Chlamydomonas reinhardtii: one gene and its partner. The protein of the gene in region 2 purifies or fractionates together with the protein of the main gene of each other region. This does not show direct contact. Links are inferred from orthologs where the notes say so. Each region holds a gene or a part of one and is shown on either strand. Other genes may lie near its edges. The genes, in order: CHLRE_16g685277v5 and CHLRE_12g488850v5.

Region 1 (4,510 bases), on a different chromosome or scaffold from region 2:
CACCTCGCTGATGACCGGCAGCACTTTGAACGGCAGTGTGATGCCGTCGTTCACACGGTACCTGCGCGCAGGCGAGCGTGGGGCAAGTCAGGTCAATGCCATTTGCTCGCAGTGTAACGCGCTGCGGATCCGTTACGAAGCTAACGTTGTGCCCGGCCTCTTCTGCCGTGCGTGGCTCTGGCCCCACGCACGGCAGAACCAGCAACACTTCTGCCCCGGTGCCACACCGCCCGCCTCACCGCATGAGCTCGAACTCGCCGTCGGGCGGCACGAACGTGACCACCTTTTGCGACTCGTAGGCGCCCAGGTTGACGCACTGGTGGAAGGTCGCGTCCTGCAGCACCGACACACGGCACAGAGACAGATCAGACCCATGCAGCCCTGATGAGCGCTATACGGTCGAAGCATCTGCCTCTTCTATGCAGTCCACAGATGCTGGGGTGCGGTGCCGTTGCCGTAAGTTCCCCAGACCCCCACTACTGTCAAGCACGCCGCACGACGCCTCCCTGCCTAACTCAAGTACCCAACCACTCCCGCCTGCTGACTCCCTCCCACATTGACACGTGGCGTGCACGCTTGCACGCACCTGCATCTGGTCGTTGAGCCCCAGCCGCAGCTCGGGCATGTCCGACAGGAAGCACTTCATCTGGATGCGCCCGACCACATCATTGCGCAGCACCGTGCCTGTGGCGGTAGGATGATGACGGGGGCGTTACCGTGAGACGTTACGGAGCATTGCTGACCGCACACTTGCCCCGCGCCGTGTACGCCCCCTCCGCAAGTGACCCGGCACTCATACCATCGTACTCGTCAGTTCATCCCGCTGTAGTCGACCCCAGTGACCTGGCCCTGCTCCCGCGCAGCTCCCGCCCTCCGTGCGCCCCTGTGGCCCACCACATCCCTCTGAGGCTGCCGCCTCCCGCGGCCCCACCGTTCTGGCTCATGAGCACGTTGACCTGCTCCACGATGTCCAGGAAGATCTCGTTGCGCTTGTACTTGATGCCCTCCCGCCGCCAGCCCACCGCGCCAGTCACCGCCAGCGTGGCGTTGGCCGCCGCTGCTGCCTCCTTGGCCTTCTTCGCCTGAGGCGGCACGTACATACACACCGTACTTCCCCGTCAGAACCCCAATGAGCTGCTTGCCGCTCCCCCCCTCGACAGTGCCCCTCGCTCCTCGCCCGCAGCGCCTATGAACGCCTGCCTTCATTTGCCCAGCACAGCGCTTTGCAGCTTGCTATGTTGCGGGCCATAACGTGACGCCCTGGCGCCTGCGGACTAACAGCACATATCGCCACCCCAACGCCTCTAGAAGCCCATGCGCGCGCCAGCGGCTCACCGCCGCCTCCGACGCTGATGTCCCGAGCAGCCCGCCTTCCGACTTGTAGCCCTTTTGGAGGATGAGCGTTTTGAGGATGGCCGGATCCGACATCTGCGCAGCGTCCGGGGTCCACGGCCAGTGGAACAACATCAGCAGAGAGCGCGGGCACGTCAGGCACGTTACCCGCCAGCAGCAGGCAGCTTTGCCCGGGCTCTCGCCACATCAACCCCCACAGGAGCCCGCGGCGTGCCCATGTGCCCCCCAGCACGCACCTGCGGGAGCCCGTAGTCCATCACCTCGTCGAGCAGCTCGTACATGAGCACTGCAGGGGCGGGGTGCCATGCAGGTTGCGAGGAGTGAGACGGAGCGGTGGGTCACATTGGTCAGGGCGCGGCAGAGCGGTGGACATGACCATGTGCAGTCGGTGGTACCGCACGGTGGTACCGCCTGACCCACATTCCCCAGGCGCGGTTCGGCGAGGCCGCAAGCTCTAGAAACAGCATGTGCAAGTTGCTCATCCAGTCTGTTTCAGCCCTCACCGAAGTTGGAGCGGATGGACGACTCATTGAGGTCGCCCTCGAAGTAGGATTGGAACAGCGACACCAGCTGTGCAGCGGAGAGGCGGAGCGCGTGGGGTCAGGTGCCGTGAGCCACGTGCAGAGAGGTGTCTCCTATCTCTGCAATGCCCCGCTGATTGCCCCCGCACTGTCTCTGGTATTAACAATAACCGGGGGTCTGCAATCCACGCTGCAATGCCAACAGGAGGCAGGCTACTTTGTGCTGGCACCGCCATACGGTCCCCAGCTACACGCAGCTCACCCCTACCTCCGGCAAGAGGAAACAGCTCTCCCCTGGCTCCCAGGACGCCTTTCCCTGGCTCCCACGACCCCTTCTCCGGCCACCTACCGAGGTCATGAAGCGGAACGACAGCATAGCGTTGCCGTTACTCCGAGTGAGCATCAAGACATAGATGTCCGAGTGGCGCAGGTACATGAACGTGACCGAGCCAAGCGTCCGGATCGGTCCAGACTGGCCTGGGTTGACGGATTGATGCTGTGCATTCAAGATGCGGTCGCGGAAGCTCTCCGCGATCTCCCGGCTGTGGCACAGGGTTCCGATCGTTGAAAGGGTGCTTTGAGACCCACTGGCAGCAGCGGTGGCCAGTCAGACGCCACTACCCGGCCACCACGCGTTACATCATGTCCACAAATGCATTTGCTCGCAGCATCAGGGCTCCAGGCCCCCAAACTGCCCTCCCCGCGCTGGAGGGAAACTCAACATCCGTTTCTCTCCGCTTGGGCCCCATGGTACCGAAATCGTTCTGCTACTTACTCTACATCATCCTTGTACTTTCGCTCAAGCAAGATGTCGCCCCGGAGGTTGAGGAAGTAGATGGCAGAGCACGCTGAACAAGCCATTCTTCTGCCGCTCTCCCGCTCAGCTGTTCCTAGACGTAAGCTAGCCTAAGCAAGAAGAATGTCAAGGGTGTAGGGCAGACATGTCACCTGCACCTTTGCTTAAAACAGGTAGCTCGGGCAGAAGTTGCACAGGCGTGAAGGTGCAAACGCTCGGTTAAGTGATGTCTGCGATGTCAGCGAGGAAGTATGGTGGTTTAAGTATGCCAGGGCTGCACATTAGTCTGAAGACCGAAGGGTGTTGTGCCACGGCACCGGCATGCACACTTGCATGCAGGTGCATGCACAGCCCTGCGGAGGCGTCAGGCACTCAGGCGCGAGGGAGCCCGGAGCCGTCCGGCGGCATCGGCAATCAGTCATAAGCCCGTGTGCTTGCAGTATTTGGGCTGAGCCCGCCGAGCGCAGCAATTCAAGGGCGCGAAGCCCCCCCCCCCAAAACACCTCTGCCCGTGCGTGCGTGCGGGCATGCGTCGGCACCAACCTCAATGCTGGGGCAAACAACGCAGTTTGGACTGGACATTTGTAAGGTACGTGAATGTGGGCTGTGCTTTCCAGCCACGCTGCTGCTGGCCACCCCAAAATACCCGGGCACTCGCGGCTGGACGGGACGCGGCTGACACGCGGCGGGCGGTGCCTGTACGAACCGACGGCAATGTCCGGGAATTGAAACCTTCGGCCTCAAACCTTGCGCCAACGTGGCGTGGGCGCAGCCCATTCTTCCGGTTTCCCTTGAGACGTAGAGCCGTGTTCCTCGCCTAGCGCTTGTCTTACACACGAACGAACGGGCCTCCAGGTACAGCCCTTCATCCATACACCCACCCCGCTGCTTGCGCCTTCAAGTCCTGCCACCTTGACCTAGCCGTGCAACTCATAAGGCCAGCTTTAGACTCCAAAATGCACGGCACGCGTCGGCACTACACCGGCATCGGTACCCTGAAAATGTTCAACATCCTGCGGTCCAGGGTCCAGCGCAAGCGTGAACCGCGCACCAACTTGCACATGCAGCCCCACGGCTCGCGGCTCTGGCTAGCACCGTTCAAGCCTACGCCTTATTCGCGGCAAGTAAGGCACCTACAGGGGTGCACATTGACGGCAACCCCATCCAACTGCCGTCTGCCTGCTTTCCGCTCTGTGCGGGATCAAGCCCTTCCATGACACAACACCCGAGTGGTGTGGCTCCCGACCCCCCAACATGCATACGTTCTCGTGAGTCGCTGCGAAGCCTTCACGACTCCACCTGGGTGACGCCTCATAACCAATGGTCATTCCACTACTGTTACCTATTGGGCTCGGGCACATGAAAACCCCCCCTCCAACACACACGCTCCCTGGCGCCGTCCGTCTTGGTAACTCTCACACAACCCCTCCATGAGCCCATATGGCCACTACTGCTACCATTCCGCCACCGCTCAATCCCACGACGGCCCATCACTTGATTTCACGAGCACGGGCGTAGCATGCATCCGGCAGGCTCCCACCTCCCCAGGCCCCAGGCCCCAGCCACATCATCACCACACTACACATCACAGTTACAGCCTGCTCACATGACGTCCAGCTTCTTGCGGAAGTAGGCACGCATCTTGGCCAGTGGGCCCTTCGGAGCCGCACCCGCACCCGCCGCCCCGCCGCCGCCGCCCGCCGTCGCCTGTTGGTCCTCAGGCCCCGCGCCGCCATCCGCTGCCGCAGCCGCCATCGCCGCCTGCCTGCTTTGCACCGACAAATCCGCTTCCATGGCACAGGCGCCGTCACCCCCGGCGGCGCTCTTGCCCCAGCGGACG
Region 2 (4,578 bases):
CCCGGCAGAGCGCAAACAGCTCTGGAGTCCACAGGGTAACGCACTCCGACCCTTCACCGCGCCAGTAATCCTTGCGGAATTACTACCGGTGTGTGTGTGTGTGTGTGTGTGTGTGTGTGTGCGTGTGTGTGTGTGTGTGTGTGTGTGTGTGTGTGTGTGTGTGTGTGTGTGTGTGTGTGTGTGTGTGTGTGTGTGTGTGTGTGTGTGTGTGTGTGTGTGTGTGTGTGTGTGCGCGCGTCATTGAAATGCGTAAATGCGAATGCGAATGCGTGTTGCGGGCTGGCCGGGCGCCCTGAGCGTGAGGAAGGCGCGTCAGCAACTCACCGCCTGCCAGCAAGACGCAACAATTTATCGATGTCTCAGAACAGCAACTCCGACGTTACACCAGCTGCGCGCTCATACCTTGACGGCTTGACGGCGCGTATTGAATGTGAAGGTGTTGTATGACAGCCGGCAACAATGATGCCCCAGGGAGTGTTCCGCAGGTTGTGTACCGGATGTGGCGTACAACTACTGCGCTCCGCCCATAATTATCCCCTTCTGGACTGCACAGTCGCTTCGCTCGAGAGCACACTTGTCGTGACTTCCGTGGCAGTGGGGTGACCAGCCCACGTCGCGCTTACCCCCGCCCCCAGGGTATCGCCATAGCTAATTCTTATGAGCCAACTTCTTGACCAGACTCTCATTACTAGCCAAACAGGCTTTCAGCCGAGACCTCCCGTACGGGACTACGCCAACGTGCCTCTTACCCTGTCCCATCGCACCACTGCGCATTCTACGCGGCCTGCTTATCCTCACTCGCCCTTTGCCGCCTGTACAGTACCAACCGGTATCCGCCGCATGCACATGCCTACCTATCAACTTGTTGCAGCTGTGTGTCTATCTCTCCAACCCGGGCCTGCCCGAGCCCACGGCCCCCCGACACACGGCCGCCGCAGCCCACCAGTAGAAGGACTTGCGAGGGCATCTGAGCACCAACAGCACCCGCAAACGACGCAACCTATCTGCTGTGCATTTGTGCTCCAGTATGAGGGGTTCTAGCATTCTTTGGCCCCTGCTCAATCCTAGATCTTGGTGGCTGCAAGCTAAATGGTTGAGAGCTGAGTGGCTGTCTCGCTGAGACCTCGCCGGCAAGAGTGCACCGGCACCCATGCTCGCCGGTGAAAGATTGTGGACTTTGAAGGCAGGGTCTTTCTAGGGGCACCACCATAGATTGGAGGCAGTCTCTTGCGAAAGAAGAATCGGGCGCATGCCGGGGTGCAGTCTGACACAGCTGCCCATGTGTACAGTAAGGCCGATGGGGCCGATGGGGAGCAGGGGTCATGGCGAGCACTGGTGCGCTGTTGCCCGAGACTCGAAGTCGAAGCTGCAACCGGCACTCCCTCCCAAGCTTCTTCACGCGCATGAGTCACAGCGGGTGCTCGATCCGGATGTCAATGTGTCACGCGCAAAGGGCGGCGTCAAAAAAATGCCATTGTGTTTGCCCCCTTCGGTTAATGGCTGGCCCACATGGCCCTCGATGGCGGTCCATTCGGCAGCCCTTTTCAGTGTCTCCTCCGTCTGCTGCTTGATAAATACGTAGCAATTGCTGCAAGTAGTACCAGGGCCTTGCGACTGAAGACTCCACCGAACTTGCTGGCTTTATTGAACTACCGTTGTTGGCCTTCAGCATTACGTAGAAGACATTGAAAACAAACCAAAATGTCGAAGACTGCGTATATGCGCGGTCTGCAGGTGTTTATATCAGATATCAGGGCTTGCCAGAACAAGGAGCAGGAGCAGCGGCGCGTGGAGAAGGAGCTAGCAAAGATCAGGGCAAAATTTGGCGAGGACAAGAGCTTAAGTGGTGGGTTGGCAGGGAAGATCCTGTTGCACAAAGGATTGGTCCCTTCGGCCAGCTTCTCGGGGCTGTTCCGGCGCCCGAGATTCATGTTCGCCCCGTTTGCGCAGGCTATGACCGGCGAAAGTACATCTGGAAGCTCCTGTATATCTATATGCTGGGCTTTGACATTGACTTCGGTCACAAGCAGGCGTGTGACTTAATTCCAATGCCGAAGTACTCAGACAAACAAGTCGGGTACATGGCCTGCTCGCTCCTGCTGCAAGAGGTCAGTGGCACTCGCCTGCTCGTGAATCGCGCCTGCCCGGCTCCCGCGCCCTGCACATGCCCGCAGCAGCGGCAACATGTGTTTCAATTTATGGCTAGGCGCTCACCGCTAGCGCGTACTCGCAGAACGACGAGTTCCTGCGCTTGGCCATCAACGCCATCCACTTGGACCTGACCAGCCGGAACGAGGCGTTCCAGGCGCTGGCGCTGAGCTTCGTGGGCAACAGTAAGTCGCATGGACGGCTGAGAAGGGCAAATGATTATGCATGTCACGGTCGCTGAGTATACAAGGGTTGCAGGGAAAGGGCTGGGGAAAGGCGGAGTGAAGCAGGGGCGTCACGGGTGGTGTGGCACGGGGTCGTCCGAAATGCAGGGCCGATAACGATTGCCTGTGTCCATGCGCCGCATAGTTGGTGGCCAGGAGATGGCGGAGGCACTGACGCTGGACGTCATCAAGCTCCTGGTGAGCGCGTGCCGTGTTCCCTACTGCTGTAGGCCGCCCCAGATGACCTCGGCACTATTTGGCTTGTGTTAGTATGTTTGTCAGTATTGCACGTATGACGCAAGGAATGCATCGACCGGCTGCCATTCCCACGCACCCAACCGCAGACGAGCGGCGCCTCGCGGCCGCTCATCAAGAAGCGCGCGTCGCTGTGCCTGCTGCGCATGCTGCGCAAGACGCCGGCGGACGCGCCGCTGGTGGTGGCGGCGGACACGTTTAGCCCGACCATGGCGGCGCTACTGGAGGAACGGGACCTGGGCCTGCTGCTGTGCTCGGTGACGCTGCTGCACGGCTTGGTGGCGCGCTCGGGCACAGGTGGGGAAGGGGGGAGGGAGACGCACTTGGGGGATGCAGGGATAGCGCAGCGACACCATCATGTGGCGCTTCGGTGCACCTTTGTGCGGAGCACTGACATGCAACGTGTGGTTCCTGGCTGCGGGCCCCACCATAGGCGGCTACGAGACGTGCCAGGGCCGTGTCATCAAGATCCTGGAGCGCCTGGTGCGCGAGCGGGAGCGCATCCCGCCCGAGTACTTGTACTACGGTATCCCCTCGCCCTGGCTGCAGGTGGGCCATCACAGGGTGGGGTGCTGGTGTTTCTGGTGCTGTGGGCTGTGGCAATCAGATGCTGCAGGAATTGGCGCAGGACTGCAGGAGGCAGGGACGGCATCCAACAAGGCATAGATGTGTCATGGCATACCACCAACCGCTGCTCATGTGCCGGTGTCGCCTGTCGTTTGTTCGCAGGCCCGCTGCCTGCGCGCGCTGCAGCTGTTTCCGCCGCCGGACAGCGCCACGGAGCGCAAGGCGCTGCACGACGTGCTGCAGAACATCATCGCCACGAGTGAGTCAGGAGGACGACGGGATTCCCAGACAATCATTGCCGTGTTTGGGGCGGGGCGTTAGCCGGATAGGAGACAACAACAGCGCGAAGCGCTGCCGCCCTAGCGAACGCGGGCTCAAAGCCGCATGCTTGTGCCACATACCTCTGCTGCACAGCGAGCGCTGAGGCTGCCAAGAACGCCAACCCCAACAAGACCAATGCGCTGAACGCGATCCTGTTTGAGGCGCTGGCTGTGGCCCTGCACCACGCCTCCGCCACCAACAACGCCATGGCCGCCACTGGCCCCGACGCCGCCAACGACCGCGCTACGCTGGGCTCGTGCCTATCGCTCATGGGCCGCTACCTGGCTGGCAAGGTGCGGGGCGTGGAGGCGGGGGAACCGAAACACGAACCAAGTAAAGCGGCAGGATGGGGACTTATCACGACTCACAGCGAATCGCAACTTAGCTGGACGGGCGAGAGATTTCGGCTCCTGCAGAGGTCCTGAGAGCTGGCACACTCCCTGACTCGCATGTGGCCGGACACGCAACTGTGGCAGTATTGCATCTCCGAGTGGCGTGCGAATGGGCTGCGTGCGCTTCACCCATGACTCTCCCCATCTGCCGGTGTGTGCTGTGTGCTCCGCCGCAGGACCCCAACGCCAAGTACCTGGCGCTGGACTCTCTGGCGCGGCTGGCGGGTGCCATGCCGGAGGTGCTGGAGGGCGTGCGCCACCACCAGGCCACTGTCATGGCCAGCCTAAAGGTGGGAGGGGGTGGGGGCGCCGGAGGGGGCAGGGGTGCGGGACGAGGGGGAGGCAATATACCTGTGCGCAAGGTGTAACGGCGGTTGGAGCGTCTGTCTATGCGCAAAGCAGGCACGGGATGCACCGGGGAGGGAAGGGATGCAGCAGGAAGTAGGAATGGCGGCCTTGGGAGGTGACTCCAGAGGTCATTTCGACGCGCTTTACGCCATGGTGTGATGGCTGGAATATTGCAGTCATTTGGCACTTGCCAACGACACACGCTGCACCACGCCGCAGGACCCGGACGTGTCCATCCGGCGGCGCGCGCTGGACCTGCTGTTCGCCATGTGCGACGCGGCGTCGGCGCCCGAGGTGGTGGGCGAGCTGCTGAAGCACCTGGT

Evidence for each region.
Region 1: the proteins of CHLRE_12g488850v5 (region 2) and CHLRE_16g685277v5 purify together in Arabidopsis thaliana (affinity purification with mass spectrometry; 4 studies listed by BioGRID, with this or other methods). This does not show direct contact. The link is inferred for Chlamydomonas reinhardtii from reciprocal best matches to the Arabidopsis thaliana genes alpha-ADR and AT5G46630.

The regions. Positions count from the first base shown.
Region 1 is NC_057019.1:7,380,938-7,385,447, forward strand, and holds the start of CHLRE_16g685277v5 (uncharacterized protein), read right to left. Parts: upstream 2,933-4,510; 5' UTR 2,736-2,932; coding exon 2,650-2,735; intron 2,417-2,649; coding exon 2,224-2,416; intron 1,924-2,223; coding exon 1,857-1,923; intron 1,640-1,856; coding exon 1,590-1,639; intron 1,429-1,589; coding exon 1,336-1,428; intron 1,083-1,335; coding exon 932-1,082; intron 685-931; coding exon 587-684; intron 335-586; coding exon 240-334; intron 62-239; coding exon 1-61. Other genes in the region: CHLRE_16g685389v5 (uncharacterized protein), read right to left, coding at 4,273-4,510. UniProt on the Arabidopsis thaliana protein: Subunit of the adaptor protein complex 2 (AP-2). Adaptor protein complexes function in protein transport via transport vesicles in different membrane traffic pathways.
Region 2 is NC_057015.1:1,312,370-1,316,947, reverse strand, and holds the start of CHLRE_12g488850v5 (uncharacterized protein), read left to right. Parts: upstream 1-1,558; 5' UTR 1,559-1,701; coding exon 1,702-1,846; intron 1,847-1,950; coding exon 1,951-2,108; intron 2,109-2,233; coding exon 2,234-2,333; intron 2,334-2,517; coding exon 2,518-2,570; intron 2,571-2,716; coding exon 2,717-2,924; intron 2,925-3,060; coding exon 3,061-3,176; intron 3,177-3,356; coding exon 3,357-3,453; intron 3,454-3,608; coding exon 3,609-3,808; intron 3,809-4,083; coding exon 4,084-4,197; intron 4,198-4,474; coding exon 4,475-4,578. UniProt on the Arabidopsis thaliana protein: Subunit of the adaptor protein complex 2 (AP-2). Adaptor protein complexes function in protein transport via transport vesicles in different membrane traffic pathways.